3 linked regions of the Lonchura striata genome follow. Each later gene encodes a partner of the first gene's protein in a complex. Links are inferred from orthologs where the notes say so. Each region holds a gene or a part of one and is shown in the gene's direction. Other genes may lie near its edges.

The links.
Region 2: STX5 (region 1) and BNIP1 share a complex: the UniProt entries of both Homo sapiens proteins name them as parts of the SNARE complex. The link is inferred for Lonchura striata from reciprocal best matches to the Homo sapiens genes STX5 and BNIP1.
Region 3: STX5 (region 1) and VTI1B share a complex: the UniProt entries of both Homo sapiens proteins name them as parts of the SNARE complex. The link is inferred for Lonchura striata from reciprocal best matches to the Homo sapiens genes STX5 and VTI1B.

What each region holds. Positions count from the first base shown.
Region 1 is NC_134638.1:358,647-366,711, forward strand, and holds the start of STX5 (syntaxin-5), read left to right. Parts: upstream 1-5,044; 5' UTR 5,045-5,102; coding exon 5,103-5,165; intron 5,166-5,339; coding exon 5,340-5,413; intron 5,414-5,943; coding exon 5,944-5,999; intron 6,000-6,269; coding exon 6,270-6,340; intron 6,341-6,418; coding exon 6,419-6,535; intron 6,536-6,987; coding exon 6,988-7,044; intron 7,045-7,508; coding exon 7,509-7,584; intron 7,585-8,065. Other genes in the region: NAA40 (N-alpha-acetyltransferase 40), read left to right, coding at 279-437, 1,209-1,292, 1,987-2,064, 2,216-2,258, 3,185-3,268, 3,598-3,627. UniProt on the Homo sapiens protein: Mediates endoplasmic reticulum to Golgi transport.
Region 2 is NC_134617.1:2,453,857-2,461,559, forward strand, and holds the start of BNIP1 (vesicle transport protein SEC20), read left to right. Parts: upstream 1-4,656; 5' UTR 4,657-4,677; coding exon 4,678-4,764; intron 4,765-4,854; coding exon 4,855-4,947; intron 4,948-5,158; coding exon 5,159-5,250; intron 5,251-6,010; coding exon 6,011-6,112; intron 6,113-6,775; coding exon 6,776-6,894; intron 6,895-7,703. UniProt on the Homo sapiens protein: As part of a SNARE complex may be involved in endoplasmic reticulum membranes fusion and be required for the maintenance of endoplasmic reticulum organization. Also plays a role in apoptosis.
Region 3 is NC_134608.1:32,868,652-32,876,440, forward strand, and holds the start of VTI1B (vesicle transport through interaction with t-SNAREs homolog 1B), read left to right. Parts: upstream 1-4,738; 5' UTR 4,739-4,776; coding exon 4,777-4,891; intron 4,892-7,789. Other genes in the region: retinol dehydrogenase 12, read right to left, coding at 1,324-1,533, 1,989-2,093, 2,376-2,531, 3,339-3,457, 4,087-4,166. UniProt on the Homo sapiens protein: V-SNARE that mediates vesicle transport pathways through interactions with t-SNAREs on the target membrane. These interactions are proposed to mediate aspects of the specificity of vesicle trafficking and to promote fusion of the lipid bilayers.

The sequences.
Region 1 (8,065 bases):
GGAGGTTTTTCCCCCCAAATCCCCAGGGTTTTTTCCCCCCCAAATCCCTGGGTTTTTTTCCCCAAAGATCCCTGGGTTTTTCCCCCCAAATCCCCAGGGCTTTTTCCTCCAAATACCTGGGTTTTGTTCCCCCAAATCCCTGGGTTTGTTACTCAACATCCCCTGGCAAAAACCTCTGGTTTCCTCCCCCCAAACCCCATTTCCACCCCCCAAACTCCCATTTTTTCCCCCCCAAACCCCGTTTCCCGGCCCCCACGCCCCGTTTTTCCCGTGCCCAGCTACGAGCAGAGCGAGTGGGGCTGGAAGGAGCGGGAGAAGCGGGAGGAGCTGCGGGACGAGCGCGCCTGGTACCTGCTGGCCCGCGAGCCCGGCCACGGCCCCGTCGCCTTCTCCCATTTCCGCTTCGACGTCGAGTGCGGCGACGAGGTCCTGTACTGGTGAGGGGGCTCGGATTTGGGGTCACTGCCACACCACAGTGGCTGTGGGGCCGTTCCTGGGGTCTCGGGGGGGTTTTGGGGTGTCCTGTACTGGTGAGGGGGGCTCGGCTCTGGGGTCACTGCCACACCACAGTGGCTGTGGGGCTGTTCCTGGGGTCTCAGGGGGTTTTGGGGTGTCTGTTCCTCAGTCTCAGGGGGTTTTGGGGTGTCTGTTCATGGTCTCAGGGGTTTTTGGGGTGTCTGTTCATGGTCTCAGGGGGTTTTGGGGTGTCCGTTCCCAGGTCTCAGTGGGGTTTTGGGGTGTCTGTTCCCCGGTCTCAGGGGGTTTTGGGGTGTCTGTTCCTCAGTCTCAAGGGGTTTTGGGGTGTCTGTTCCCGGGTCTCAGGGGGTTTTGGGGTGTCTATCCCCAGGTTTCAGGGGGTTTTGGGGTGTCTATCCCCAGGTTTCAGGGGGTTTTGGGGTGTCTGTTCCTGGGTCTCAGGGGGGTTTTGGGGTGTCTGTTCCCCGGTCTCAGGGGGGTTTTGGGGTGTCTGTTCCCGGGTCTCAGTGGGGTTTTGGGGTGTCTGTTCCCCGGTCTCAGGGGGGTTTTGGGGTGTCTGTTCCCCGGTCTCAGGGGGGGTTTGGGGTGTCTGTTCCCCGGTCTCAGGGGGGGTTTGGGGTGTCTGTTCCCCAGTCTCAGGGGGTTTTGGGGTGTCTGTTCCCTGGTCTCAGGGGGTTTTTGGGGTGTCTGTTCCCCGGTCTCAGGGGGTTTTTGGGGTGTCCCTCCTGCAGCTATGAGGTGCAGCTGGAGAGCCGGGTGAGGAGGAGGGGGCTGGGCAAGTTCCTGCTGCAGATCCTGCAGCTGGTGGCCAACAGGTCAGAGGGGTCTGGGGGGAAACTGGGGGGGTTTGGGGGGGACTGATGGGGATTTTGGGGGATTCTGGAGGGGTTGTGGGGAATGGAGGGGGTTTGGGGGGGATTTGGGGGGAAGGGAGGGGGTTTTGGGGGAATCTGGGTGTCGGGGGGATTTGGGGGGGATGTGATGGGGTTTGGGGGAGGTTTGGGGGCAGAACCAGGGGGAGTTTGGGTGAAATGGGGCAGTTTGGGGGGGAACTGGGGGTGTTTTGGGGTGAACCCAGGGCAGTTTTGAGAATGCCACTGGGCCGGTTTTTTGGGGTGAAACCGGCGCAGCTTGGAGCCAAAGCAGGGCAGTTTTGGGGGTTCCACGGGGGCAGTTTTGGGGGTTCTACCAGGCTGGTTTTTGGGGTGAAACTGGGGCAATTTTTGGGGTGAAACCAGGGCAGTTTGGAGCCCAACCAGGGAAGCTTTTGGAGTGAAACCGGGGCATTCTTTGGGGTACCATGGGGCTGGTTTTTGGGGTGAAACCAGGGCATTTTGGAGCTGATGCAGGGCAGTTTTTGGGGTTCCCAGTCCGGTTTTTGGGGTTCCCAGTCTGGTTTTGGGGTTCCCTGGGGCGGTTTTGGGGTTCCCTGGGGCGGTTTTGGGGTTCCCAGTCCGGTTCTGGGGTTCCCAGTCCGGTTTTGGGGTGACCCGCGCCCCGTGCCCGCAGCACGCAGATGAAGAAGGTGATGCTGACGGTGTTCAAGCACAACCACGGCGCGCTGCAGTTCTTCCGCGAGGCGCTGCAGTGAGTGCGGGGACACCGGGGACACCGGGGGACACCGGGGGACACCGGGGACACCGGGGGATACCGGGGACACCGGGAACACCGGCACCGGGAGGGGACACGGGGGGACACCGGGGACAGCTGTGACAGCTGTGGCACCCTGTCGTTGCAGTGACCGGGCGCCGCGGGCAGGCGGGGCAGGGGCACAGACAGAGGTGGGTGCTCGGGACCCAAATTCGGGGCTTTCGAAGGCCATTCTGGGGAAAATTTCCCTGTTTTTGGTCATTTTGCTGTCAGTTTGGGATCCCCTTTTGGATCCTTAAAAAACCCATTTTGGGTATTTTAACCCATTTGCAGTTGTTTTTTTCAGCTGTTTGAAACTAATTCTCCAACATTTTTTCCCTTTTCCCTTCTATTTTTTTATACCAAGGCTTTTATCCTTTTCTATATTTATTTTAAGCCTATATTTATAGGTTCTATATTAATTTTTTGGGTTGTTTTGGTCCTTTTCTGGGGGAATTTTAAGCTCATTTTATGTTTTCTTTCCCTAGTTTTAGAGAAATAATTTTAACTCTCTGTTAGTTTTTTAAACACATTTTTGGGGGTTTTGGTCCTTTCCTGAGGATTTTACAAACCCTTTTTTCAAGGTTTTAGTCCCTTTTCCAAGATTTTCCCCCATGCTTCTTTTTCATCTTTTTTAACCCACTTTTCCAAAAGTTTTTCCCCTTTTCCCACCAATTTCCACAACCTTTTTTCTGCTTCCCGTTACCCAAATCTGGCATTTTTAACCCCAAATTTCCAAGGACATTTTACATTTCCCTTTATTCCATTTTTCCATTTTTTGCTTGTTTTCCACCCATTTTCCCAGGCTTTCAACCCCTTTTCCCCAGATGGTTTTTAACCCTTTCTCCTCTGATTTTTGGGGTTTTTTACCCTTTTTTGGGTGCTGCTCCCCCCCCCCAGCCTTTCCCCTCCCATCCCCTCCCACTGCCAGCCTGGGGGGTGATGTGGGGGGGTCAGGGTGACAAGGAGGGGGTCCCGGGGGGTTTCTGGGGGTCAGGGGGCGTTTTGGGGGGTCAGGAAGGATCCTTGGGGCTCAGGGGGGTGGCGGTGACCCCGTGTCCCCCCCGTGTCCCCCCAGGTTCGAGGTGGACGCCACCTCCCCCAGCGTGTCCGGCTGCTGCGGGGACGATTCCTCCTACGAGATCCTGAGCCGCAGCACCAGGTTCGGGGACCCCCACCCCGGGGGGGGCCCCTGCGCCGGCTGCTGCCACTGAGCCCCCCAAAAACAGCCCCGCGCCCGCCCGGCGGGACCCCCGGGGCGGGTGACACAAACGGCCCTTCCCCCCGTGCCGGCGGCGCGGCGCTGGGCGGGGAGGGGGATTTTTGTGCTGGATTCGTATTTTATTTTTATTTTATTTTTATTTTATTCTTTATTTTTATTTTATTTTTTCTTTCTATTTTTTTTTTCCATTTTATTTCTATTTCTATTTTATTTCTATTTCTATTTTATTTCTATTTCTGTTTTATTTTTTCCTTTTTTTTTTTTTTCAGCCGTTTTGTTTGTACGGGATAAATAAATAAATAAATAAATAAACGTCAATTGAGGCTCTTGCGCTGGGGGCGTGGCCGTGCGCGGGAGAGGCGGGGCTATGCTAATGAGCAGCGCAGCAACTCGCGCGGCTACGAATAAATTATGTTAACGAGGGGGCGTGGCCATGGCGGGACGTAGCGGCGCGCGGCGGAAGTGACGTCAGAGCGCGCCGCCGCCGCCATGCTGCCGCCCGCCGCCCTCCTCGCCCGCTCCGTCCTGCGCGCCGCGGCCCGGCCGGGCCCGGCCCCGCGCGGGCTCCGCTCCGGGCCCGCGCTGAGCCCCGTCAGCACCGCGGTGAGCGGGGGGGGGCGGGGTGACCCGGGCGGGGCCGGGCCCCGGTGACCGGCGCGGCTCTAACGGCGCCGTCCCCGCAGGACACCGTGCTGGGCCTGGCCGCCGTGTTCGTGTCCATCTTCGGGCCCGCCGCCTGGGTGCTGGGCCACATCCAGGACTACCGCAAACGCGAGGAGTGAGGCGGGCCCGCCGCACACCGGGACCAGCCGCTGCGGGAGCCCCGCGAGCACCGGGACCAGCGCCGCGACCGGCGGGAGGCGCCGCCGCCGCCCATGGGACCCTCCCCGCTCCCCCCGCCCCAATAAAGGAACCGCGGATTCCGCCTGAGCCTCTGTGTCCGTCCCGCCGTACCGGAACCGGGCCCTGACGTCACCGGGGCGTCACGGGGAACGGCGCCATTGGGGGGGGGGGGGCTCGTTCCTGGGGGCGGGGCCTGTTGCTGGGGCAGATCAATTCCACCAATCAGATCGCGGCACAGCTCGTTGCTGGGGGCGGGGCTTTATGCAAGGGCAGATCAATTCCACCAATCAGATCGCGGCACAGCTCGTTGCTAGGGGCGGGGCCTGTTGCTGGGGCAGATCAATTCCACCAATCAAATCGGGACTCTTTGCTGGGGGCGGGGCCCCGCCCCTCCCGGTGTCCCCGGGCTCGGGGCCGCCATTCCCGCTCCGGTTTGGGGGGCGGGGTCTCATTTGCATACCGTTCCCGCCATTCCCCGCCGGCGGGAGGCGTTGCAGTGGGCGGGCCCCGTTTCAGCGGGCGTGGTTCCCATCCCCGCCCTCACCGGGGCGTGGCCTCTCCCCGTCCCCTCCCGGAAGTACCGGGGAGTTCTGTTCCGGTGCCGGCGGCACTTCCGGCGGAACGGACGTGGCAGTGACGTCAGCGCGGCCGGAGCCTCCCGGTGGCGGCGGCCGAGCCCGCGGTGAGGGGGGAGGGGCGGCACCGGGACCCCTCGGGGGCTCCGGGGCGGCGCCGGTTCGCGGGGGGCTCCCGGCGCGCCCCGTTCCGCCGCCGGTAACCGGTGCCGCCGGTGTCCCAGGGCAGGCGATGAGCCCCGATGCAGGCGCGCCGCCGGCTCGGGCCTAGGCAGCGCGAACCGGGCGCGGCCCCGGCGCCCCCCCGGGCGGCGGCGGCGCCTCCCGCGCCCCCGGAGCCGCCGCCCGCCGACGTCATGTCGTGTCGCGACAGGACCCAGGAGTTCCTCTCCGCCTGCCAATCGCTGCAGGGCCGCCAGGTGACCCCGGCACCCAAACCCCCCGGGAATTACCGGGGGTCTCCCCAAACCCCCCGGGAATTACCGGGGGGTCTCCCCAAACCCCCCGGGAATTACCGGGGGTCTCCCCAAACCCCCACCCCCCCCATCCCGGGGGTCCCCCCTGACCCCCCGTTTTCCCCGGTTCCCCCCCAGGACCGGGGGCTCCCGGCGGGCAGGGCCGGGCCCGGGCCGGGGCGGCCGCGCAGCGAGTTCAGCCTGATGGCAAAGTGAGGAGGGGTCTGGGAACCCGGGAATTCGGGGTTGGGGTCCCCCAGGAATCGGGGCTCGGGATCCCCGGGAATTGGGGTGGCGGTCCCCAGGTACGGCGGGTCAGGATTAGCCCGAATTGGGGTGGGGGTCCCCCGGAATGGGGCCGGGGGTGTCCAGGAATTTGGGGTCAGGGTCTCTGGGAATTGGGGGTTGGGGTCCTCAGGATCTGGGAGTAGGGGTCGCCGAGTGTGGGCGGTCAGGATCAGCAGGAATTGGGGTGGGGGTTCCTGAGAACTGGGGGTTGGAATCTCCAGGAATTGGGGTGGGGGTCTCCAGGAATTGGGGGTTGGAATCCCCAGAAATTGGGGTGGGGGTCCCCGGGTATGGTGGGTCAGGATCAGCAGGAACTGGGGTGGGGGTCTCCAAGAATTTGGGGTCAGGATCTCCGGGAATTGGGGTGGGGGTCCCCAGATGTGGGTGGGGGTCCCGAGGAATTGGGGCGGGGGTCTGCAGACCCCCCCCAATCCCTGCCCCCCCCTCCCCCCAGGCGCATCGGGAAGGACCTGAGCAACACCTTCGCCAAGCTGGAGAAGCTGACCCTGCGTGAGCGGGGGGCTTGGGGGTCCGGGGGGCTTTGGGGGGCTTTGGGGGTGTCCTGGGGGGATTTGGGGGTCTCTGGGGGGCTTTGGGAGGGTCAGGGGGGATTTGGGGGCTCACGGGGGAGTTGGGAGGGCTCAGGGGGGATTTGGGGTGTCAGGGGGGATTTAGGGGGTCTCAGGGGGGATTTGGGGGGGTCTCTGGGGGATTTGGGGGGTCCTGGGGGGATTTGGGGGGTCTCTGGGGGTCTCTGTGACCCCGCTGACCCCCCCGCAGTGGCCAAGCGCAAGTCGCTGTTCGACGACAAATCCGTGGAGATCGAGGAGCTGACCTACATCATCAAACAGGTGCGGGTGGGGGTCGGGGGGTTTTGGGGGGTTTTTGTGGGGGGGTTTTGGGGTGCCCCTGACCCCCGTGCCCCCCAGGACATGGGCAGCCTGAACGCGCAGATCGCGGCGCTGCAGGAGCTGCTGCGGGCGCGGCGCGGCCCCGGCGGGCGGCACCTGCAGAGCCACTCCAGCGGCGTCCTGCTCTCCCTGCAGGTGGGCCGGGGGCTTCGGGGGATTTTGGGGGGATTTTCGGACTCTTGGGGGGGTTTGGGGGATTTTTGGGTGGGTTTTTTAGGGGGTTCCTATGGGTTTTTGGGGGTTTTTTTGGGGGTGGTTTTGGATTTTGGGGTTTTCTTTGGGGGGTTTTTGGGAGGTTTTGGGGTTTTGGGGGGGTTTTTAGGACTTTTGAGGGTTTTAGAGGAGTTTTGGGGTTTTTTTGGGAGGTATGGGGGTTTTGGGTGGGTTTTGGGGGGTTTTTGGGAGTTTTGTTGGGGTTTTTGGGGGGTTTGGGGGGTGTTTTTGGGGGGCCTTTGGGAGTTTTTGGGGAGGTTTTGGGGGTTTTTTGGGGGATTTTTTGGGGCGGCTTTGGAGGGTGTTCGGGGGATTTTTTGGGGGGTTTTGGGAGCTCAGGGGCCCCCCAGTGACCCCCCACCCTCCCTCCCCAGTCCAAACTGGCCTCGATGTCCAACGACTTCAAATCGGTGCTGGAGGTGCGGACAGAGGTGAGCGGGGCTGCTGCAGCTTTTCCTTTCCCTCTTTTTTCCTTTCCCTCTTTTTTCCTTTCCCTCTTTTTTCTTTTTTCTCTTTGCTCGCTCCCTTCCTCTTTTCCCATTTTTACCTTTTTGCTCATTTCTCATTTTTTTTCTTGTTCTTGTTGTTACAATTTTTTATCCTTTTCCCGCTTTTTTCTGCTCCTGATTTTTCCTTTTCCTTCACTTTTCTTTTTTTCACTTTTCTGCTGCTTTCTCACTTTTTCTTCTCTTTCTCCAATTCTGTTCTTCTCCTTATTCCACATTTTCCCAATTTCTCCCCATTTTTCTCTTCTCTCCCCATATTTTCCCCCTTTCTTTGCTCTTTCTCCCCCTCATTTTTCCCCCTATTTCTCCCCATTTTCCCCCCATTTTCTCCACATTTCCCCCCCATTTTCTCTCACCTTTTTCCCCATTTTCCCCTGGTTTTGCCCCAGAACCTGAAGCAGCAGCGCAGCCGTCGGGAACATTTCTCCCGCGCCCCCGTCTCCGCCCTGGCCGCCAACAACCTCGGTGAGCCAGGAATTCCTGGGAATTCCGGGGGGGAAAGGGAATTTTGGGGGGGGTTCTGGGTGGGAAATGGGAATTTTGTGGAATTTTGGGGGAATTACAGGTGATAAAAGGGGAATTCTGTGTGGGAGATGGGAATTTTATGGAATTCAGAGGGAATTTGGGTGATAAAAGCAGAATTCTAGGTGGGAGATGGGGATTTCTATGGAATTCCGGGTGGGAGATGGGGATTTTTTGGAATTCCGACTGGAATTTGGGAGATAAAAGCAGAACTCTGGGTGGGAGATGGGGATATCTATGGAATTCCGGGTGGGAGATGGGGATTTTATGGAATTCAGACTAGAATTTGGGTGATAAAAGTGGAATTCCAGGTGGGAGATGGGGATTTTTTGGAATTCAGACTAGAATTTGGGTGATAAAAGTGGAATTCCGGGTGGGAGATGGGGATTTTATGGAATTCCGGGTGGGAGATGGGGATTTTTTG
Region 2 (7,703 bases), on another chromosome or scaffold:
TTCTTTGTGGTGGTGGTGGTGTTCAGGTGAGGAGAGAGTTGGCTGCTGCTTTCCACAGTGGGTCTGGTGTATTCCTCTTGTTCTTGTGGAGCTGCCCAGGGCCCCAAAAACCCCAAGAGAGAATGTGTCCTGTGAGGTGCAGGCTGTAACCGAGCAGGGCTGGCACTCAGAGCTTGTCCCTGTGCTCCACCCAAACCCTGCGGGCGAGGCAGCATCTGAGCATTGAGAGAGAGCAGTTTCAAATCAGGTAAAAACTTCTGGGACAAATTCAACTGACAAGGCGTTTAAAAGCCGCCCCACTTATTTTGCTACCTGGGAATCCTGGGCAACACACAACTTTATAGCTTTTTCTTTTTGTCTGAAAACCAGACTATGATTTTGGTCTCGCATTTCAAAGTAGACTTTGAATCTTTAGTGAGTTCCATACCCTTGCATTTCAGTGTTTCCTATGTATTATTTTAAGTTAAAGCTTTGAAATAGTTGAGCTTTTTAATGTTGACACTTTATTTTGTAACTATTTATATGTATGTATATCTTAGAAAAGCACTTTGTTTAAAAAAAAAAAAGAGGAAAAAGAAAAAAAAAAAAAGAAACTGCGTTTTATATGATTCCTGCCACTTGCTGCTAACTCTGGGCTGGTCAGAATGCTGCAGCGATACTTGAGATAAATAAAACCTGGCAGTAAAATGTAGAGTAAAGATAAGACCTTTTGCTGGTTTAACTTTATCATAAAGGTGACATAGGCAAGCTGTGCAGCTTTACATTTTAACCAGGGGACTCTGTGGCATTTAAACCGTCTAGAAATGGTTGTACTTTAATGCCAGTAACAATCTGCTTCCTCTAGTGTCATTAAAATATATACATTTAGTGTATACTTATCACAAACAAAAATCTTATAAGGGTATAAAAACCAACATATGTACATGTTCTGTTTTTTGGCAATTGTGGCATGCGTTTTGGGGTGATCTTTAGAGAAGACCATTTTCTAAAGATTTTCAGTGTTCATACATAGTATGTGGATCTTAACGAAATCCTGGGTTTTTTGTTTTGTTTGTTTTTGAGTGTAGGCATTGTGAATATTCACTTTTAATCCTATCTCCAAAAACAATGATCTATTTTTTGATTTAATACAACCAGAAAGCTCTTCCTTTTTCTGATACACTGGATTCTCTAGGATTTGTTTCCATATTAAAAGCATGCTGTCATAACTGCTCTTGTCGAGATCTCGTCAGTCTGAACGTAGGTGCCACACTTGGAATCGATGGGCTGCTTGTTCTGCTGTACCATGTATGACCCTCGTCCTTCCCCTCCCTTCATGACAGATGATGATGTGGCTTTATATTGTGCCTTACTTGTACATCTAGAAACTAAGTGTTTTTCATTCCCTCTGAACTCGTCAAAGCTTCTGAGGTGGAGTCAGAGCTGATTGAAGCGTGCTGGAGCGAGTGCAGACAGGGCTGATTTCAGTTTCTCTCTCTAGTCCTTTTGTATTTCTATGGAAGACCAGTTTTTGAATGGCCTTGCAAAACGTGGGGGTGCTCCTGAAGGGTGTTTTTAAACCCAAAACCCCTTTTGCTAACGCTTACTTTTATGGTTTATTGAACACATTTACTGATATTTGGTGAGTGCTTTATGTTTTTTGGGATGAGAGAGACTTACTACTAAAGCTGTGTTTACGTGTGGATGGGCTGGATTTTCTTATCATACCAGTTGAAATCATTGTGATTTAATAAAGTTGTATTGCTGTAAAGCTGATGTGAGAGTCAGGCTCAGCTGTGTTCAGTTCCTAATTTATAGGTTGACTTTTTTCCGTACTAAGAGGGCCAGGGAAAAGTTGGGGTTTTTAAAAAAAAGCAAACAAACAACAAACCAACCTAAAATGGTTGAAAGGTCTTTTAACTAACCTAAAAGCAAACAGACACTTTGGAAATGTAGAGGTGTCAGTTTAAAATTTATTTTTAAAAGACACCCCCCAATATTTATCTAATATTTATCTTGCCTTCATTAATGAAACAGCTTATTCACAGCTATAATGACTGGATGTGCTTTTCCATAAATCATTTAAACATAGCAATTTTTTTTTATTATTATTTTAAAGAAGCTCTGAAGGGTTTTATTGGGAGAATTTCCAAGGGTTGTATCCAAGCTGCCTCCAGCAGAAATAGCAAATGCAGTCCTGTTCCTCAAACGTGCTTGCTCGTCTTCCTGAAATTCTGCTGAGGCACAAGCCAGTTCTGGACCGTGAATGTCAGGATCTGTATTTGGCCTTGAGACCCGAGTTTCAAGAGTGCATCTAAGCATGATTTGGTTTTCCTTTGAAGTTGGAATCACCTAGTGGAGTGTGCTGCTAGATGTGGTCTTGGCTTGTTGACACAGCCTTGCACACAGCTGAGGTTTATTTTGTTTACCCCAGGGATGGTGTGAAGTACATTTCAAACAGTTGCTGCCTCAGTGACTGATCCTTCTTGTAACTGTATTAAGGGCATTAGTCTGTTGAGAAAACGCCACTCTTGAATATCTCCCAATGTAAATTGGGATTTCTTCGATGTCATTAATCAAAGATGGCACTTTCAGGCTGTATCTTCTTTGCAGCAAACAAAAATCTCTGTCTTTCTACAACTTGCATTTCACAATATGCCATGTTTTCCCTCCAGTGCTTCGAGAAGGTGTCTTTGCACTCTGGATATAATCCTCAGCCTCTTAGACATCCATGAACTTCCATGGGAGCAAATACTGACTCTGAATTTATTGTTTTTTACCAAGCTGTGGAGCTAAAAGTGGAACCAGAGCTCTTTGAAGCCACACTTGCATTTTTTTGTTTCCCCCATTAAAAAAAAAAACAAAATTTCAAGCTTTTTAGATAATGTCACAATTCAGAGTTTTTCTAGAGTTTAAAGTAATTTTTAGTTGAGTATATTTAAAGTCAAATTGGGTGACTTAACTACTACTGTAGGGAAAACTTACAGATTAGATTTGATATTGGAAAAAGCACATCCCACCCTATCAAAATCTGATTAGGAAACAGAACCTAGTAAGAAAACTTAATTTTAATTTCTCTTGTAATGATGGATATTCATGCATTCTGATTGGAATCATCTATCTTCCCAGAATATTATATATCCAAGGAAAACTTGCTCAGTATTTGTAGTTGGGTGAACTCTTAAGGCTGATGGCACATGAAGATGCAAAAAAAAAAAAAGCATTTTAAACAAAACATGGCATCCTGTTCTGCCTTTGCTTGGGGTCATGATTGTAATGCTGTCCTTGATATTCTATAATCAACTTCCAACTGGAGCTCAGTAAAACATACTGAAAGTCTTGTCTCTGTTAGAAAATAAATTTACCTTGTTCAAAGCATGATCTGTTAAGAGTTGCAATGTTAAATGTTGGTTAATAGTTGTGCAGTTTTATTTTTTTGAAAAGAGGCACAATTAAACTATTGACTTTGTTTACTCTGTCACCCTTGATCCCTAGCACTTCTATTCAGATACAAATTCATCAATGTATGCAACATCCTTTGTAATTTAAAATAAAAATTGTGGAGGAAATACTGTCCGGAATCATTGTGTGTGTGGAATGATAGGGAGTGGCTTCTGCTGCCTTGAACTTAGTGCTAGGTGTGGTGTTTCCAGGAAGTTTCCTTTGGAATGGGTGACAGGTGGGTAAGGGAATGTCTGGTTTGTGCTTCCTCATGCTCAGAGCTGCCTGGCAGCGCTGCTGGCTCGCTGGGGACATGTGGAGAGCCCGGGTTAGTGCCTGGGGAAGCTGCTGCTGCAGTCCCGTGGGTCTGGGGGCAGCAGGGAAGGACTCGGCGCCGGGAAAAGCGAAGGGCATTGCTGTGGTGAGAACATTTCTGTGAAAAATCCTGAGAGGGAGAGAAACGTGCTCACCATTGCCCTGCTTCTCACTCTGGGCTGCAGAGCTCGTGTTCCCCACCCTGCTCCTGACCAGTCAGCCTGGCCTGGAACCCGAGGAGGCTCTTGGGTGTAAACCTGGAACTTTTCCATGGGAATCTTCTGGTTCTGCACAGCTCCTGACAGGAGGGGACAGCCAGGGGGACATCCAGGATGAGAGGGAACAGCCTCAGGCTGGGTGAGGATGGGCTCAGGGTGGGCACAGCAGGAATTTCCCCATGGAAAGGGAGCTCAGGCACTGGAACTGCCCAGGGAGGTTTGGATCCCATCCCTGGGGTGTCCCAGGAAGGGCTGGAGGTGGCAGTGGGTGCTCTGGGCTGGGGACAGGGTGGGGATCACAGTTTGGATTCAATGGGTTTCAGAGGTGTTTTATAACCTCGGTGATCCTGGAATTCTGCTGTTCATCCATCCCCACGGCGCAGCAGCACATTCCCAGCCATGGGATGGGATGGGATGGGATGGGATGGGATGGGATGGGATGGGATGGGATGGGATGGGATGGGATGGGATGGGATGGGATGGGATGGGATGGGATGGGATCGGGTCGGATCGGATGGGATCGGATCGGGTCTGTTCGGGTCGGATGGGATCGGATGGGATCGGATGGGATCGGGTCGGATCGGATGGGATCGGATGGGGTCGGATGGGATCGGATGGGATCGGATGGGATCGGATCCCTTCGGCCCGGCCCGCCACGTCCCTCTTTGCGCGCGTCCCGCCCGCCGCCCGCAGGGGGCGCCCGGCCCCGCCCGGCCCGGCCAAGATGGCGGCGGCGGCCGCGGCGGTGCCGCTGCGGGTCTGTCACCAGGAGATCGTCAAGTTCGACCTGGAGATCAAAGCGGCCGTGCAGGTACCGCCGCCAGCCCCGGGACACCCCGTGACACCCCGGCACGGCCGCGGGGCGAGCCGGGCCCGCGCTGACCGCGCCGTTGTGTTCCAGGACATCCGGGACTGCCCGGGGCCGCTCAGCGCCCTCACGGAGCTCAACGCCGCCGTGAAGGAGAAGTTCCGACAGCTCCGCGGCCGCATCCAGGTGAGGCCCGGCCGCGGCTGCCGGGGGCTCCGGGCTGGGCCCCCCGGCTGTGGGTGCCTGCCGGGCTCTGGGGATCCCGGCCTTGGGTTTGGGGGTCCCGGCCGAGATCTGGGAGTCGCCGTCCTGGGTTGGGGTTTGTCACATAAACCTGCTCCGGGCTGGGCTGCGCGGCTGGCTGGTGAGGTTCTGGTGTTTGTGCTCGCCGCCGAAGGAGCTGGAGCAGATGGCGAAGGAGCAGGACAAGGAGTCGGAGAAGCAAGCCTTGCTGCGGGAGGTGGAGAGCCACAAGAAGCAAATGCTCAGGTGGGTCTGGCCCCGGAGCTTGGCCGGCTTTGGTGCAGCCTCTGAGTTTGGAAGCACACACACACTGACACGTGTTTTGGCCCAGACCAGGAGCAAAGGGACAGAAAGGGTGTAACTAACTCCCTTCTCCTGCCATGACTTCCTGGCTCTGCTCTGTCCCTTTGAGCTCAAAGAAGGCGGCTTTGGAATCTGTTGTTTGACAGCTGGCAGTTTTCTTCTTCTCTTGGTCCTTAAGTGCTGCACTGAGGAGTGGGAATGTCAGAATAGAATGTTTTTGTTATGTGTAGGAATAGAGAAAGTGAGGGGCTGAGGGAGCTGGGAAGGGGCTCAGCCTGGAGAAAAGGAGGCTCAGGGGGGACCTTGTGGCTCTGCACAGCTCCTGACAGGAGGGGACAGCCAGGGGGACATCCAGGATGAGAGGGAACAGCCTCAGGCTGGGTCAGGGCAGGCTCAGGGTGGGCACAGCAGGAATTTCCCCATGGAAAGGGAGCTCAGGCACTGGAACTGCTCAGGCAGGTTTGGATCCCATCCCTGGGGTGTCCCAGGAAGGGCTGGAGGTGGCACTGAGTGCTGTGGGCTGGGGCAGGGTGGGGATGGGGCACAGCTGGGACTTGATGATGTTGGAAGTATTTTCCAGCCCGAGTATTTCTTGCATTCTGAGGGCCCTTGCACCACTTACAGTGGTGGCTGCTTTGTGAAAACTGTCTGTGCTTGCAAGGTGTTCCCATCGCATTACAACACTCTGCTTTTGTGATTTCAGCAACCAGGCAGCCTGGAGAAAGGCAAATCTGGCCTGCAAAATTGCTATTGACAACTCTGAGAAAGATCAGCTGCTGCAGGGACGAGACATCTTAAGACAAAGGTATTGGACTGTCCCACTGTACTGTGGGACAAGCAGTGTCTCCTATATTCACTCATTTTAAATGGACATCATATTTTAATTTTTTTTTAATTATATCATGTGTAGGTTTTCTTTTGTGAATGCATTTCCCATTTCTGGAGATTTGGGCTGTTAAGGATAGTGATGAATTCAGGTTCTCTTGGCATTGGCATGTCTAAGCAGAAAAGGGGATAAATTAACCTTCATAGCTTTACATATTGTCTTTTACATTAATTCCAGATAGGTTCTACACAAGAACTGGGTCATTATCCAAGCTGTTTTCACATCCAGAACTGGGTGTGAGTGTGTGCAGGCTGTGTATTGTATTGAATGCAACAGCTGGGATATTCAGGATGATAAAATGGGTTTGTGTTGGTGCTCCCATAAAGGAATTACACAGTCCTGGGTGAGCAAGTGGTGAAGTACAGGCCCTGTGAGATTCTGAGCTGTTGTTTGGGCTCAAGACTTTATTGTTTAGTGAAAATAATCTGAATTTCTCATGCAGTGAAAACCAGTTGTGTCTTTTGTACAATGCAGAGATCTTTAGTGCCAAGTATTGGCCTTATCTCCCTATCAGCAGCATTTTCCCAGAGCACCCAAAAAGATAATTTTACCTCTTCCTGCTTTTCTTTTTTCTCTTTTCAGGAAGACCACAAAGGAAAGTCTGGCAGAGAGTGCAAGCAACATCACAGAGAGTCTGATGGGCATCAGCAGGATGATGTCCCAGCAGGTGCAGCAGAGCGAGGAGACTGTGCAGACCTTAGGTACAGCTGGAATTTGGGCATGGAGGGGGTGATGGAAGCACCTTTGGTCAGCTCTGTCAGCCTGGGGAGAGGAGCAGAGGAGGAGAATGTGCTACAATGGTGATTAAAGGACTGGCCAGCAGAACTCCTCTAACAGCTGGACATAAACAGGAAATATCAGTGTGCTTTGTGTGGAGTTTCTGTTTCATGAGCGTGAGAGGCAAAAGGGGTCAGGATGAGGTTGAGTTTCTTGTAAAAGCAAACTGAGCTCACGCAGTGCCCAGAGTGTGTTCGGTGCTACTCTGTGCCACTGTCCTGGCAGGGATTTGGGGACAGCAGAGGAATCAAAAGCATGGATACAAATCCCTGCGTGGAGGAAGGAGTGTCTGCAGGGCTGCTCCAGCCAGGCTCCAGCTGGGATGGCTGAGACACCGAGATCAAGTGCCTTGAACCTGAGGTCACTTGCTCTGTCAGCAGTGCATCAGGGACTGTGAAACCAAGATTTCACCCAGTTCCTTGGCTTGGACTCCTAAAACAATAAATCAAGGGACCTGTCAGAACTGGTGATTCATGGAGCATTCAGGAGCTGCTGCCTGGGCCTCTTCCTGGCTGTGCTTTTGGGCAGGAGGGAACTGTAAAGACAAGGACAGATAACACAAGTCTGCCCTCCTTGCTTTCTGCCCCATCCGAGGGTGGCAGCTGGGCACAGTTTGTTGCTGCAGGAGTAGCATGTTCCTTCTCCCATTAAAAGGACAGTTTGGCAGGCACTTTTTCACCCTGTTTCTGAATGAACAGCACTTGGAATTCATCAAGGGAAACACTACCAAAGG
Region 3 (7,789 bases), on another chromosome or scaffold:
GGCAATATGACTGCAGGGTGACAGTCTTCACTTGAGCTGGCTCACCTCTCAAGGCTGCTCCTCAAGGCAGAGAGCTTTTACCAACAGCAAATCTTTGGATGAGTCCAGCTGAACCTCAGCTCAGACTGCAACTGGACTGCACAGCAGGTTAACTCTCCCCTGGAGCAGAAGCACCTCTCAAGGTTTGAGATTTCTTACCTGAGACTGAGAGCCTTCCTTAAGCAAGGCAGAGAGGCCCTTTGCTTGCAATAAATCCTTGGTAAAGACTGCTGAATTAATATTGAGGAAACATTACTAGTCCATGTAGCTGCTCAGTAATAATTACAGAAACTTGGTATACATATAAATCGTCCAAATCTGAGACTCAAACTGGACATAGGCTCCCTAAGGAGTTTAAAAAGCATGGGGCTCCATGCTGAGCCTCACGATTCATCAGGAGGGTCTTCCTTACACAGTGTGTTTCCAGTCCTGTGTGAATCATTCTAATTTAATTCTAAATCAGTTTTCCTTTGCATGTGTCTTCCACGTAAATAATAGACTGAACCTTGCCATCATACTTTAAGTCACCCTCTTATGACATCAGGTTAAAACCACTTTTGCTAATACCTTTGATGGCGATTCTTGAAGCAGTTTAAATCACTCATCCATGGCACTGGATGAGGAGCATCCCCTGCTCCCTTCTAAACACAGGAGTCATTATGTGCCTTCTGCAAAACAAAGTGCTAGAGGGTCTGAGTGCTAAACCAGCAGCAGTTTCCAGCAGGCTTTTGAGAACACCTGCCTCTTTTGACTTACTCTAATAGTAATTTCCTGGGGAAGACACTACTTCTGTTGTAGTAAATCAGTATTACTTAAGTTTATGAACAGGACTGAATGACACGACTGTGACAGATGTTGTGACTTGCAAGGTACTATCTAATCTTATGCTTGTTCTACGGGCCACCACCATTTAAGGCAGCTGAGTGTGCATTAGCTTTTCTATTGGAGACTGCAGTTGTGGCTGTTTTCAGCTTCCATCCACATACTACAATTGTCTCTGTGGATGCAGCTAGTTTTTGACAAACACCAAAGAACAATGAGATACATTCAACTGTGCCAAGCTACTAAACTCTACCCTGTTGCTGTAGAGACAATCTGTGTTGTAAGTCTACTGGTTCCACAGACAGGAGATATTTTCTTCCTGCAAAGAGCTCTCAGTGACATTTGCCTCAAACCATTCAATTTCTGCATAGACAATTTGCAGCTCTTTCTTCAATCCAGTCTCCCCATCATGGTGCTCAGAAAGCCAAGCAGATAAACACCCCACCTGCCCCCGGGACTTGCCTTGCAGCCGCCTGGCCAGCTCCCGGGTGAAGAGCACGTTTGCCAGTTTGCTGTGACAGTAGGCAAGGCCACGATTGTAGCTCTTCTCACCATGGAGATCATGGAAGCGGATTCGGCCTCCGTGGTGAGCCAGCGAGGACACGTTCACGATGCGGGCTGGGGCAGACTGCTTCAGACGCTCCAGCAAGAGGAAAGTCAAGAGAAAGTGACCTAGGGGGGAGACGAAAGGTCATCCTTCTAGAAAGGGTTCCCCTGCTTGCTTCTACGTGGTACCTTACTGCTGTCCTCATTTCAAGTCCAGGAAAAAGAAAATTTCTGTTAAATTCCCCTGAATTGACATCTACACTTTTTTTGGGGCCTTCAGGTTCTGCTCTTCATCTTCAAAAAGCTGTAGCCATCATACATTTCAAAATGTCCCAGGTAACACATACAGATCCACAATGCACAAACACATCACATTGCATCTCCAGAATTCTGACTCTGACCCTCCATCATCCCAGTAAAAGGAAGAATGAGGAAGAGAAAATCCAAAAGGATTTTCCTTTGGCATTTTGCTATAGATATCGATGTTAGAAGAAGATGATCTTTAAGGGCAATTCCAACCCAAATCACTTGACGATTCTATGGTTCCATATTCAGTGCAAACATGATTCCACTAGCCTTACCAAGATGATTGACTCCCAGATGCATCTCAAAGCCATCAGCAGTCTTGGAGTAAGGGCATAACATTACCCCAGCATTATTAATGAGAATATGGAGTTCCTTCTCCTCTGCAAGAAACAACAAATATCTTTAAACAAGGAAACAGAGAATGCAGACAAGAAGGTAGTACAACTCACCCCTTGTTGTCTGACTTGCAGCCACATCACCTTAAAAAAAGGATATATCTCCTACCACAAACTAGCTCATGGCCTTTGACCAGCCCCTGCTATGAACCACAGTACCCAAGAGGTACAGAGACAAGCAGGACAGGGCTTTGGCAATGGTTAGAAGAACAGACAGCAGTCCTTAGTAAAATACTCCCACTAAAAATAAGAATCTAGAGACTCTACCTGCTAGAAATCTCTCAGCAAACTCCCGGATGGACTTCGTATCAGCCAAGTCCAGTTTTTTCACAATAACTTGCTGGTTCCCTGTCTCAGCTCGGATTTCATTGGCTGCAGCTTCTGCCTTTGCTGTGTCTCTGCAGGCAATAATTACCCTTGCACCTGCAAGGAGGGGAGGGGGGAACAACAGGAACATAAGATGAGATCACTGGAGCACACTGGATGATCAAGGCTATGGCAAGCAGGCTGACCATGCCCAGCAATTACAAACAATATACTGTTTCTTTAGGGAACTAGCATCAGTCAGGGGGATGGCTGGAAGGGACAAAGCTTTCCCCACTCAAGTGTGAGCTACAGTCCTGCTGAAAGATGATTTCAGACTAGGCAAATACACATCTTAAGTGCCTCTGTCCATGTTCTCCCAGGTCAGGAATGCATACAACACTGGTATGATAGCATTGTATCTGCCCCTATAATGGGAACATCAAGCCAGGAGCACATAAAGGTCATGGATTCCAGCCAGAGTAATTTCTAAATGGATTGTGAACAGGTAGTTTAATCTTCTTACTAGTTAGCCAAATAACATTTGCATCAAATTAGCTTGAAACATGAATAACTAAAGCACATAGTGGTGGACCTATGGCATTTCTCAGCTTCCTACAAGCAGAATCCAGGAACTTCCCCAGTCCCCTTCAATCAGTTGCAATGCAACGCATTTTTATGTCCCCAAGGCACATTTTTGGAGTCCAAGCAATGAAAAGTTCCCAGTTAAGGAACTGGAAACCTGCACTTCAGTGGTTACAGCCTCGGAAGGAACAGCACTTGGGCTCATCTGCAGTAACTCTGGAATCCAGTTTACTTCAATATAAGCCTACAACACCTCTTCCTTAGGTCCAGAAAAGGGGCTACTGGCACAAGGTACAGCCACTCCGGCTGCAGAGGCATACGTGCTGACAAGACTGCACTTGCCTCTTTTTGCGAGGTCTCTGGCGGTCTCCTTCCCGATGCCTGTGTTGGCTCCCGTGATTATCACCACCTTCCCCTCCAACCTTGCTGTCGACTTACACCGTCCTCCAGCGACATACCGCCTGCAAGAGGGGAGGCACCAGTCACCTCTGCCTGCTCAGCATGCCCCGTCCGGGGTTGAGCACCCAGAACCTGGGTTCGCATCAATTTTCGGGCTCACCCCAGGGAGCCACGGGCGCCCTCGCCTGAAGCGGCTGGTCACGGCCCTGTCGCGATCGGGACACCGGGAACGCGCCCCACCCCCGATCCCCCGCGCTTTCCCGACGCGGCCCCGCCCCATCCGTGCGTCAAGTGGAGCCACGGCTCCCATTGGCTGCTGCCGCGCGCCTCGAGGCCTTTTGGCCAATGGGCTTCGCCGCAGCGCCCTGAGGAGAACGCGGGCCCCGCCCCCTGCCGCGCCGCCGCGAGCGCGCCGGCGCCCGGAGGGAGCCCGGGGAAAGCACCGGCGGTGCCAGGGCCGAGCGAGCCCCGGGAAAGCCCCGGCAGCGCGGCTGTGTCGCCGGGGCGCTGGAGCGGGCAGGCCTGAATAACTCCGACCCCAGCGCGGGATTCCCGCTGTTCGCACTCCCGCCGCACTCACACAGACACACACGCAAGAAACGCGAAGCGCGCCAGCTCCGCGCCCCAACGGGCGCCGCCCTGCGGGGCGGAACACACGCGAAGGGCAGGGGCTGCGCTCGGTAAGACGCACCTGATGTAGGGCGCTGCCACGAAAAGAAAGACGGGCACGGAGACGGCGGCGCCCAGCGCGGCTTCCCAGCAGCTGAGCATCCCTGCCGCCAGCTACCCGCGCACCGCCAGCGCACGGCTCCGGCAGCCCGCGCCCCTCCCTTTCGGATCCGCCTCCGCCCCGCCCGCTTGGCCTCGCCCACACCCGTACCGCCACACCTCCGCACGCACCGCGCCCCCGCCGGCCCTGCCCGCAGGTACGCGGGCGGCCCGCTGCTTTTTGCCCCGGAACCACAGTACTCCGACCTGGGTCCCGCGAAACATTCTGAAACGCAGTCCGCAATTAAGGAGCGAGAAATGTCTCCAGGGACAGCGCAGTGGCGGCTGTCGGCAGTGGCGTTTGAAGCACATTTTTACAACCCCACGCCGAGGCTCATGTCATGAACCCTGGCAAGGAGCGTGCACCGATGTGCACGTGGGCAGGCGTCCAGGCCTGGGGGCAGCGCGGCGGCGGCGGGTCACGCCGGTACCGGGGAGCCCCGGGGCCGCACCGGCGCTGCCGGCCCGGGGCGCTCCGTGGCGGCGGCGGACGAGCGCCCCCGCGGGGTGCGGGCACGGCCGCCTCCCCGGGACTACAGCTCCCAGCAGGCAGTGCGCGAGGCGGCCCCGGCGGCGGAAGCGCCTGCCGGGGCAGGGCCGGGGGCGCGGGGCCATGGCGGGCCGCGGGGCCGCGTCCTCGGAGCAGCTGGAGCGGCTGCACGAGATCTTCCGCGGGCTGCACGGAGACCTGCGGGGCGTCCCCGAGCGGCTGCGGGGCAGTGCGGCCGGTGAGGCGGGCAGGGGGAGTGGGCGTTCCTCGAGGCACGGGCGGGGCCGCCGCGGCCGGCTGCGGGGCTGTGGCGGGAGCGTTCGGGTGCTTCTCGTCAGACAGGCGCGTTTGAGCAGCGGGGAGGGCAGCGTCCCGTCAGGACTCTGTGTGGGGGGCTTTGCGGTTCTAGGGGCTGGGGACGTCGCTCCTGGTAGGCGCTCGCTGGGAGGAGGCGGGTGGCGCTGCCCTGTGTCGTTCTCAGCTGCTGCCATGTCCTGGTGGCCTTGCAGGTGTGTGGCTTCGCTCCACTGGAGCTCCTCGGCTCTGGCAAATTTCAACTCCGCTGGCAAGCGCTGCCGTGCTAGGCTCACGGCATCCGTCTCTGAGGAGGAGCCCTTCTTTGGACGCTCTTTCATGCTGTTTCTGTTTGAACTGGAGTATAGCCTGGAGAACAGGAGGCTCAGGGGTGACCCCCTCACTCTCCACACCACTGAAAGGAGGCTGCAGCCGTGGGGCTCGGCCTCTTCTCGCAGGCAACCAGTGACAGGACAAGGGGACACAGACCTGAGCTGCACCAGGAGAGGTTAAAGTTGGACATTAGGAAGAATTTCTTCACAGAAAGCATGATTAGACATTGGAATGAGCTGCCCAGGGAGGTGGTGGAGTTTAAGGAGGTGTTTAAGGAAAGACTGGATGTGGCACTCAGTGCCATGGTCCAGTTGACAGCGTAATGTTAGGTCAGGTTGGACTCAATGACTGCAAAGGTCTTTTCCAGCTAAATTGATTCTATAACAACTGCAGTGCTTTGGGGGTTTGGGGTTCTTGTCCCCCCTTTTTTTAATTTGCTATGTTGGATTCACAATTAAAACCTCATTGGCAGAAATAGAAGCAGTTTTTATTGGCAGAACTTCCCAGAAACGTCTGTAGATTTGTTGGAGAATGTTTGCATTTGAAATGATTGTTTTAAAAGTCTGGTTTATGCAGTATGTACTCAGAAAATATTGAAAACCTATCACTCTAGCCACACTAAGTTGTATTAGAAGCACAACCTGTTTTCACCGGTATTCTTTATAGCACACCACTGGTAACATGCTCTCACAGAGCAGTCCTCTGTAAGGATCTGTGCTTCTGATGCAATCTTGATACTTGGCAGCGTTCTGAGAACCAGAAAGGGAAGCAATGTGACAAGGAGAATTTTGCCAGTGTCACTGAATGCCTCTGATTGAACCCTTCCTATGGGAAATGTAATCTGTGGCTGTTACGAGCTGCTGTAGTTCAGCTCAGGTTTTCTACCCCAGTGATGAGCAAGGACTGTCAGTCACGTTCTCCTGCAGTGTTCATTCTCCCGCAATTGATCAGTTTTGTGTAAAATCATAAGAACACTTTGTTCAGAACATACCAGTCTGCACTAGATAACACAGAGCACGAAGGGCTCTGTTTCTTACCTGACTTTCTGTTTAATGAGTTAAGTTCAGGGTCACAGTCCTTGGCATCAGCATTTTCAGGAAGTTTGGTACAAGAAAGGTGTTGAAACCCACAAATGACAATTTGCAAACCTGACTTAATTTCACTAGTGGTCAACAAGGATAAAAAGCTTAAAAGAAGCAATATGTTTTCTGGTAGAAATCCTTATTTCTCTATAGAAATGAGCATGATCAGTTTCTTGGTGAAGTGAAACCAAGTCTGCTTGACACTGTGGTAGTTATGAGCAGTGAATTCTGAGATGTGGGTTTAAATGGAGTATTTACAGGCAACTATTTTTGTGATACTTGGGATTTTTTTTTCAAGAGATTGCAAATAATTGCACATTGACTTTTTTAGACAAGCTACAGAATTTTAAGACAACTGTTCTATTCTTTACTTTTTTTTTTTTTTTTTCCTGCAAAAATCTTGGCACTATCTTTTAAAGTGTTTCTAAGAGAGTTTAAGATTTAGGAATTTGTCATTCCACTGTCCTGATGTTCGTTCTTTGCTTCTTGTACTTAGGAGGAGGGGAGTATATATTAATTTTTTGAGTTATTTGATCCCAAAATATTCAGAAGGTGATAAAAGAGACCTTGGAATACTCTTTTAAGGCAATTCACATGCTCCAAGAGCAACACAGAACCTATAGTCCTTGGGATGTCTTTGAGGGGCAGAGGTTTGGAAATGCTGTTTCATTCTATATAAACAAGATGACAAATTCCTAATTCTAGAAACACCCTTTTTTTCCCCATCCAAATTGGTAAGAAGGGGAAGCAGCCTGGATAAGTTTAAAATAATGTATTTTCCTCTCCATGAATTCACTTAGCTATACTTTCCAACTGAATCTCTTTCTAAGTGTCTGGAAATAAGTTAGTTTAATGTTGATGAGCATGTGGGTGATGCTGCTGTGGCACAGGCACTGCTGCTGCATTTTAGAGTTCTGTCCTTGTGCTTTGAGTTGTGGTTCAATGCAGAGCGACACCAAGTGAATCTCTCGGTATATTTTGGTGTTTCTGGATACCAGCCAGATACAGCAGAATGTTTTCAAGCCACATTGCTGGATTTCTTGTTAGCCTGTAGACAAAAAGGTCTCAAGCTGCTTGGTTTACCTAAACCATTCCATGATTCTATGCCTTTTGGAAGCTGGCATTTCTTTGGCTGCCAGCTTATAAGTGCAGCATCTTATTATTCTGAATAGGAGAAATAAAGCAAGGAAATGCTGCATTTCCAGATCTCTGATGGGTTTCCATTACTTTGAGACAACAAAGTGGGTTTAAGAGGGCACTGCTTGAATCAGATTAGTGAAATAACCTGAATGAAACAAATTACTGACTTCCAAAGGCTGTTTTTCCAGAGTTCATGTCCATGGTTTCATTTGTAACCCAGCTACACAAACAATGGCATCAGCACAAATGTATATGATGCAAATCATGGAGGAAGTTGAGGAGAGTGT